Tribolium castaneum: one gene and its partner. The protein of the gene in region 1 interacts with the protein of each later gene in a biochemical or structural test. Links are inferred from orthologs where the notes say so. Each region holds a gene or a part of one and is shown on either strand. Other genes may lie near its edges.

What was found.
Region 2: the proteins of Mtpalpha (region 1) and Mtpbeta are reported together in a solved structure, tested with the Homo sapiens proteins (2 studies listed by IntAct, with this or other methods). The link is inferred for Tribolium castaneum from reciprocal best matches to the Homo sapiens genes HADHA and HADHB.

Annotation. Positions count from the first base shown.
Region 1 is NC_087398.1:2,394,714-2,399,242, reverse strand, and holds the start of Mtpalpha (trifunctional enzyme subunit alpha, mitochondrial), read left to right. Parts: upstream 1-1,683; 5' UTR 1,684-1,823; coding exon 1,824-1,893; intron 1,894-1,981; coding exon 1,982-2,079; intron 2,080-2,149; exon of another isoform or gene 2,150-2,244; coding exon of another isoform or gene 2,245-4,188; exon of another isoform or gene 4,189-4,216; intron 4,217-4,529. Other genes in the region: kinesin-like protein Klp10A, read left to right, coding at 2,245-4,188. UniProt on the Homo sapiens protein: Mitochondrial trifunctional enzyme catalyzes the last three of the four reactions of the mitochondrial beta-oxidation pathway.
Region 2 is NC_087396.1:13,485,820-13,490,265, reverse strand, and holds Mtpbeta (trifunctional enzyme subunit beta, mitochondrial), read left to right. Parts: upstream 1-1,484; 5' UTR 1,485-1,611; coding exon 1,612-1,681; intron 1,682-1,768; coding exon 1,769-1,937; intron 1,938-1,988; coding exon 1,989-2,176; intron 2,177-2,225; coding exon 2,226-2,413; intron 2,414-2,458; coding exon 2,459-2,632; intron 2,633-2,683; coding exon 2,684-2,815; intron 2,816-3,592; coding exon 3,593-4,048; intron 4,049-4,105; coding exon 4,106-4,153; 3' UTR 4,154-4,343; downstream 4,344-4,446. Other genes in the region: Ski6 (exosome complex component RRP41), read right to left, coding at 4,347-4,446. UniProt on the Homo sapiens protein: Mitochondrial trifunctional enzyme catalyzes the last three of the four reactions of the mitochondrial beta-oxidation pathway.

The DNA of each region.
Region 1 (4,529 bases):
CGGAAGTACTACCAGTGTGATTGCAGCCTAAATGCAACAATCGATGCAATCACCAACGACGATTCCGAAGAAGTGTCTCTCTGTGACCGCTTTCTCGACTCTCTTTTTACATGTTTCGGTAACTTGTTTTGCTGTTGGGATGGCCCCTCATACACCGACGTCCAAGAAAGGAGCAACGAGCGCCAAACTCCACGAGGAGTCATTACAACTTCAAGTGTACTTCAAGAGCTGCCTCAAGTTCATCAAGCGACCACCAATGCGGTACAAATTTTACCTTCCCTGCCTCGTAATTGATTAATTATTACAAAAATTTAAGGCGTTTTACCGCGAACAAGCCCAACAGCATTTAGAGAAGAAACGCGAATTGAATCGGAGGGCTCACCAGTATAAACAGGAGGGGAAACACAGGCTTGCCCATGATTGTTTTGAAGAAGCAAAAATACAGACGAAACTGCACGATGAAGCCAACAGTCGGGCAGCTGCTGCATTTTTAGAAGAAAATTACAGGAAATATCCAAGTAATGATACAATTGATTTGCATTATCTTTACGTGAAGGAGGCGATCCGGGCCTTGGATATTTTTCTGGACGATCAAATTTCACACTTGAGGGACGATAGTTTAAACTCGAAAGGGCTCAGTGTTATCACAGGGCGAGGGAAGCATAGTGAGAATGGGGTTCCCAAAATTAAGCCAGCTGTTATTGAACGATTGCAAGCAAGAAGGCTTAAGTAAGTCGTTCTGTTGAATCAAATAATTATTGTCAAGTGGACTGTTTTCAGGTTTTCGGAAGTCAATGCGGGCTGTTTGAAAGTCTATATTTGTAAAACTTCACCTTTAACCAATGATCTAAGTTAGAGAGGCTCTTTTATTTTACCAAAGACTGAACAAAGATTGTGTTAGCGTTTTTATTTTGTCAATGTAATCGTACATTATTATTTAACCGTATTTTTGTAATACATTTTTTACTTTGTTATTTTTATAGTTTTTTCAAATAAATATTTTTTGTCTCAACGTTTTTGTGTTTTAATTAACATCGTTTTCAGTTTCACTAAAGCAATACGTTACCTGTTAGCGTTCTTTTGAAATAATTTCTGCTATTATTTTTTATTACATTATAAATTATTCAAAGTATAATTAACTTTACCAAAGTTTCGACTTTGAACAGATATAAAAGTTGCCAATAAAAGATTGATTGAAGCATTTTTTGCAAGAGTGCAGTCTGTGAAGTGAGTTTATTTGTGCCAATTATTTTTTTAGTTTGTCGTTTTATAAAAAAGGTAAATTATTGCCAGTCTACGAGTTATGGAGATATAACTAATACGTTTTTTTGCATAGAAAAAAATATAAAGTACTCTGAATTCTGTGATTATTTGGTTTAAACATACATATAAAAAAATATACTTTTTACTGGGGTTGAAAAAAAAAACAGCAAAAAATTGTAATGTTATGCAACCATAATTGCGGTCTTGCATGCTACGTGGAGTATTTCTGTTCATATGAGATGATTTTTGCAATTTAAAAAAAATTAAGTTTTTGTAACTATAATGGTGTGCATTAGATTTTTCCTGAAATAGTTTTTTCGGCGTTTTTATTAAAATTTTTCAGTTAGATCTAGTGTTGCCATCTATGCAACCGTTTCAAAGCCACTACAGAATTCTGTTTCGAAGCGTCAATGTCAAACCCACATGATCAAAAGTCATGAATGCATAAAATAGTTATCCAACTGGGCAAAGTTCATTACTCGGCTCATTTTGAAAAGCTGGGGAAGTGTAGGGAGTGTTGGTGTTTGTAGTTGCTCGAAAATTCAATTAAAATTGGAACCATGTCGACACTACGGTTTTTTGGGGCCTTATCGAAAATTTCCCGTACTAACATAAAGTTTAAGAACACAGGTAACCTCAATTTTCTCTAAACGAATGCACTTTGATGTGTGCACTTTGCACCTGAATTGTTGAATATTGCTAACAGGGGCCTTTTCAGCACAAATCCGCGGCATGGCCTCACAGGAGAGGAAGCACACGAAGCTCAAAGTTGTGGATAATATTGGAGTCATAGTCTTAGACTCGCCAGGAGTCAAAGTGAGTATTTAGCGTAAAAATGGCACGAGCGATGTGTTTATCAATTTTTTCCCAACTTATCACGCTGTTCTGGTAACAAGCTTATTTATTTGCAAAAGCGTCTCAAACCGTGCAATAAAACAAAATTTGACAGTATTTGTCAACAAAATTTTGATTTTGATTTTAATGAAAATGAACGGGAAAGTTCTCGAAATCGGTTCCACAATCAACATCGAGCGAAGTGACGGTAGAGTGCATCCGGCAATCGTATCCAGCATTAACTACGAGCTGGACATAGTCGGGGTTGAGTGGTTTGAGGCAGGTGAAACCAAAGGCAAGGAAATCGACTTTAATTGCGTCACCAGACTAAACCCTCACATCGCCGCTATAAAGCCAGACGTTCAGAGATTCAGTGAGTGTTCCTCTGACGTTGCTCTAGTCGAAAAACCGAAAAAACGCCAGTCTATCGCCGTGTACAACAATCGCGTCAAATCCTCCAAGTCGAGAATCACCCAAGACATCGTTAAGCCGAAAAATTCACTCAAAGACAAGTACCCCCAAACCTCGCGGTCCGTAATCGAGCACATCTCCAACTCGTTCGAGAGCAATGTGGTCAAGAAAGTGGGAAAACTGGAGCTCGAACGCATCGAGCGCCGCAAAAAACAGGCGGAATTCAAAGCGGAAAAAGTCGAGCTGACCAAACGTAACGCCGATAACCCCCATTGGGAATTGCACCAAATGATCCACGATTACTGTAAAAACCTGAACTATAAACCTTTGACGATCAATGATGTAATAGAGGACCGTCTCATAACAGTCTGCGTCCGCAAGCGACCTTTGAACAAGAGCGAAAACGCGAAGAAAGAAGTCGACGTTATAACAGTGCCCAGCAAAAACCAAATCATCGTTCACGAACCCAAAACCAAAGTCGATCTCACCAAATACCTCGAAAACCACTTATTCAAATTCGATTACACGTTCAACGAGCATTGCGACAACGAAATCGTCTACAAATACACGGCGCAACCACTCATCCGGACGGTTTTTGAGGGCGGTTTCGCCACGTGTTTCGCATACGGACAGACCGGATCCGGGAAAACGTACACAATGAGCGGCGATATTTTCCGAACGAATGCCCACAAGGGAATTTATGCGATGGCTGCGACCGACGTTTTCCGACTTGTAGCGTCCCCAAAATACCGGCATTTAAACTTGATTGTAACGTGCAGTTTCTTCGAGATTTACTCGCGCAAAGTGCTCGATTTGTTGAACCGTAAAGGCGATTTAAAAATCCTGGAAGACGGCAAGCAGCAGGTCCAAGTTGTGGGCCTCACCGAAAAGGTTGTGTCCTCAGTTAATGAAGTTCTGGAGTTGATTAATCACGGGAATATGGCCAGGACTTCGGGGCAAACCTCGGCGAACGAAAACTCCTCGCGTTCGCATGCCGTTTTCCAGATTTATTTGCGTCCGGCGAAGAAATTTAATTCGCTGCATGGAAAATTCTCTTTGATTGATTTGGCGGGGAACGAGCGCGGGGCCGACACTTTGTCGTCCACTAAGACAACGCGAATGGAAGGGGGCGAGATAAACAAGTCGCTTTTGGCTTTGAAGGAGTGTATAAGGGCCCTGGGGAGGAAAGGGGCTCATTTGCCGTTTCGGTTGAGTAAATTAACGCAGGTTTTGCGCGATTCGTTCATCGGGGCCAATTCGAAGACTTGCATGATTGCGATGGTGTCTCCTGGAGTCAGTTCGTGCGAAAATACGTTGAATACGTTGCGGTACGCTGACCGGGTTAAGGAGCTAGGGGGCGGCGAGTTGCAGCATTTGTCGACGATTAATGAGAAAAATAACGAGATTATTTCGATGGGGTTGGAGGAGGAGAAGAGTTTCTCGGATAATTCCGAAGAGTTTAAAATTGTTAAAGAAAAAGTTGTTAATCTACACAGAGAGATTATTAGTAAACTGCAAGATGCGACCAAGGAGGCCAAGTATTTGAATAAGTGTATTGACAACGAACCGGAGAAGTACTGTCGGGAATTCGAAGAGTTTGTCGACGATACTGTGGCGTTTTTGTTGAATGTTAAAAATAGTGTCATTGAATATAAAATGAAGCTGTTGGCCGAAGAATGATTTTTTGCAATAAATTGTCTGGCAAGAATTCCGTTTTCGATTTATTTGAGTATAAGTTGTGTGATTGTTATTGTAAAACACTGAACAAAAGAATTACGAAAATTTGACAAAAATACGATATTCCCAAATCAAAAAATTAATGTTTTGTGTTGGTAAAAAGCTGATATTTTGATTAGATTATAATCGTATCGAATAAATGCATAATAAATTTATAAGTAATGAGATCATATTTTACATTTGATTTTTTGGCGCAAAAATACTTTCCTGATTCACTTTTCATGATTTATGAAAATAGTAACTGGAGTAAGTCAATAAAAAAGTTTTTAATGAAATTGTAAAAT
Region 2 (4,446 bases), on another chromosome or scaffold:
CGTACTAAATATGTAATTTAATAGCGAGACTTAAATACCGCCCCTAATTCTGATAAATTTTATGTGGAACTTAAATGAGATTAATGTAACAAATGTAAAATGAGCTATTCTTTAAGAAATCAATGCGAGGAGTACGTAACGGCTTACAGAATAGCTCGCTAAATCTAATGTAGATGTGTAGATTATACCAGTTTAGATGAAGTAAACTGTATCGTGTTTTGAATAAATATCGCATATGACAAAACATCTCTCGTTAATTCCCTTATTAATATGATTTTAAATTTCTAGTGCACTTACATCTCTCTAGCAGGTAAAGTATTAAACCTTAACATTTTAAACATCAATTAAACTGCGCTAATTCAAACGTTAAACCTAATTTATTTTAATCCTAAACACACTGCATGCTATTATTTTTATTTAAACGAATTATACATCCTTTAAATAAACGATTATTTTAGTTATAGTTTAAGATCACGATGTCATGTAATACACATTTTTTGTTTCAAAATCCTATTAATATGATTTTTGTTACGTGTAGTTATTACATGACTGAACAAATTTTACCTTTATTTTTGTAACTAACACATTTTATTACTGTTTCAGGTATATGACCCTCGGCTCCTCGTGGCAGTAGTTCTTAGTAAACAATACACCTAAAGAAATGTGATATTAACGGCTGTGATAATAAATTCTCAATAAATAATGCATTTTTATTAATTTGCCTTCAGATCCAAACAAGCCCATTTTATTTTAATTATCTAATTTCATTTTGTCCACTTTGCATTAAAAAAATCACATTCACACACAGACAAAATAAAAAAAAATTGTAAATACACTTTAATATTATTTGCTTGTCTACATCTACTACGAAAAATATTTTTTCAATCCGCATATTAATTTGATAATAAATTATAATGTGAGATTTATATTTGATAAAAAATACCACCAGGACAACCAAATTAACAAAAAAAATTGCTCAGAGCATAATCGGTGGACTTGGGTTTTAAAGGTCAAGATTACATAAATGATACGGTAATAACTGAGCAGTACATTTCTCATGCAAAATTTCATATTTACTGGATGCACATAGTGCCATGAACCAAGTGAACAATAAAAAAAATCAAAAATTAATTTTTGTTATAGCTTTACAACTTGTTTAAATATAAAAAAATATGGATTTATAATTGAATATAAACGTGTTACGAAGTAGACACAAGACGGTATCGGTATCTGAACTTTGATCTAATAGAGATTTTAAATATTCCAAAAAATTTTAGTTATATAATGATGCGATAAAGATTAATTGTCACTAGAATTTTGTCACCAACATAGAGCCCTAAACAGTATGAGAACTTTATTGTTGAACTTTTTATTTTGTAAATAATCCGTAAATTAAATAATACATGTGAATACTCCAGATACAAAGCGTTTTGGTTGTTACACAACAATTTTAGCCCTTTGCTCTGTTATGCGAACGATTTCGTCATTTTCGGTTCTACAGCTGGCAACACTGCGGGTCAAAGTCGACGTGTGGCGAATCTACCTTTTAGTAAATATTCCGAAATTGTGTTCCTTTGCGTTAATTTTTATTTGATATTTTAACCCTTCAAAATGGCTTCGTACATTGCAAGAAACATAGTTAAAAGCCCTGCAGCCCTAGGGCTAACCCAGCAACAATTTGGTAAGTAGTTTAATTAAAATCAAATTGGCGGTGCAATGTTCTGAAAAAGTGCACGTACAAAGTTCAAAAACCGTGATTGCTTTTCAGGAAATTTGAGGGCCTTTTCTGTCGGAACGCAATTAAACAGCAAGAAAACTGTTCCAGACAGAACTGGAAAGAATATCGTTTTGGTGGATGGAGTCAGAACCCCATTTTTAATGTCTGGAACAGACTATTCCAAACTGATGCCACATGACTTAGCCAAACAAGCCTTAGCGTAAGAAATTCGTAACCCCAGTTGGCCATAATCACAATTTTGCCATTTCAGTGGCATTTTAAAAAAGACTGGTGTTCCAAAGGAAATGATTGATTATGTCATCTATGGAACGGTTATTCAGGAAGTCAAGACTTCAAATATTGCGAGGGAGGCTGCCCTTGCAGCTGGTTACAGTGACAAAACCCCCGCTCATACCGTCACAATGGCTTGCATTTCATCAAATGTGGCCATGACTACAGGTACAAAAAACAAAAATTAAATGGTTTAGTTTAATTAATTTTTTTTCAGCCATTGGGCTTATTGCAAGCGGTGTTTACGAGCTCATCGTGGCAGGAGGTGTTGAATTCATGTCTGATATTCCCATTAGGCACAACAGAAAAATGCGCAGCTTGATGCTCCAAGCCAACAAAGCCAAGACTTTGCAGCAAAAATTGGGGCTTCTGGCGAGCATCAGACCTGATTATTTCGTCCCAGAGGTAATTACGTAAAAATCTGTTAATTGATTGTAAAGTTTGGGTTAGTTGCCAGCTGTTGCCGAGTTTTCTTCTGGCGAAACCATGGGTCACTCTGCTGACCGTCTCGCAGCTGCCTTTGGGGCCACTCGTAGAGAACAAGACGAATTCGCTCTTAGGTCACACACTTTGGCGCAACATGCATATGAAAGTGGCCACTTCACCGATCTTATCCCAGTCAAGGTAATGAATAAATTAATTTAAAATTAAAAAAAAAATCTAATTTTCTTGTAGATCCCTGGAATTGATAAAGTTATTGAAAAAGATAACGGAATCCGTGTTTCCACCCCAGAACAACTGGCCAAACTTAAGCCTGCATTTATTAAACCACACGGTACCGTCACAGCAGCCAATGCCTCATTTTTGGTAAGTTTAACATCCTATTTGCTTTCGATCATCAACTGAATTTTTGATCAGACTTGTCTGTGATTTTTAAATTACGTTGGCATTGTTGACAGGGACTGCATACTTTTTTCATAATTTTTCCAGAAGCAGTTATTACTTATTAGCGTGATTAAAAAAAAATCAAAATAATCAAAAAAATAGCATGATAAAATTGACAACGTTGTAGGAGTGAGACTACAGGTAAAGTGTTGATAAAAAAAGCACTTGTATTATTAATAACTATTTTGTATGCCTTCGTGCGCTTTTCTGCCATTTCATTTTCAAAAAGGGAATTCCACACGATTATGTTAGTGAAATGTCAAAGGTGCCCGAATTTTTTTGCTCGTCATTGTACGAAAACGGTGATTATCATAATTAATCAAGCGGAAAAGTTAAATAATAAAACCTCGAACATTATTGTTTAATTTAATTAGTAATTAATAATTACAATACATTTTTCCCTCACTTTTCACTAGTTTATCATTCTCAGAAAAAGAATTCTAATTTTATATTAATAATAAATTCTAATTTCATATGATAATGATCGCATGGTATTTAATGGCAAAAGCGAATTTGTTTCTGGATGAAAAACAAAATAAGGCGCTCAAAAACGGCATCATTCTCTTTATTTTTGGATCAATTAAATGATTATTAGATTATTGATAAAACTGTGATTGTTAATGTTGCTAATTTAATTTCAACTTCAGATGCTGGTTTTATCAGAAATTGACTTCAAGTAATAATTATTGTTTTTCTCAGACTGACGGTGCTTCCGCTGCTATTGTTACAACGGAAGCGAAAGCTAAGGCTTTGGGCCTGAAACCCAAGGCCTATTTGCGGGACTTTATCTACGTTTCCCAAGACCCTATCGACCAACTTTTGCTAGGACCAGCCTACGGCACTCCAATTGTATTAGAAAAAGCCGGGCTTACAATGAAAGACATTGCTGTTTGGGAGTTCCATGAAGCTTTCGCCGGCCAAATTTTGGCAAATTTCAAAGCCATGGACAGTGATTGGTTTGCACAAACTTATATGAAGAGGAGCAGCAAGATTGGGGCTCCTGACATCAACAAATTCAACAACTGGGGAGGATCGCTTTCTATTGGACATCCCTTCGCTGCCACTGGAATCAGGCTGGCTATGCACACCGCTAATAGGCTTGTGAAAGAGGATGGACAGTTTGGAGTGGTTGCTGCTTGCGCAGCTGGTGGACAGGTAAATAATAGTTTTGGAATTTATAGAAATATGTTTAATTGTTTTTTATTCGCATAGGGTGTGGCCATGATTTTGGAAAGACATCCTGAGGCCACCGCAAATTAATACTTTTTATATTTATTTTTATTTTTCCCGCAAGTGTCCTTAAGTTTTCATCAGTACTTTTATAGTCCCTCCAACTCCTCTAGAGAAACAACTGTACATAGCTTTTCTATACATTATTTAATTAATAAAAAAGGTTCTTTTATAATGTAATATAATCAATAATTGTCAGAAATATATTCTATACATGCTCTCCTCACGTTGTGCTTGCCCAACCTGTCGAACTACCAACATCCTGAATGTGACTCTTGACTGCCTCATCCAAAATACTTTTAATGTCTTTACACCCTTGTAAA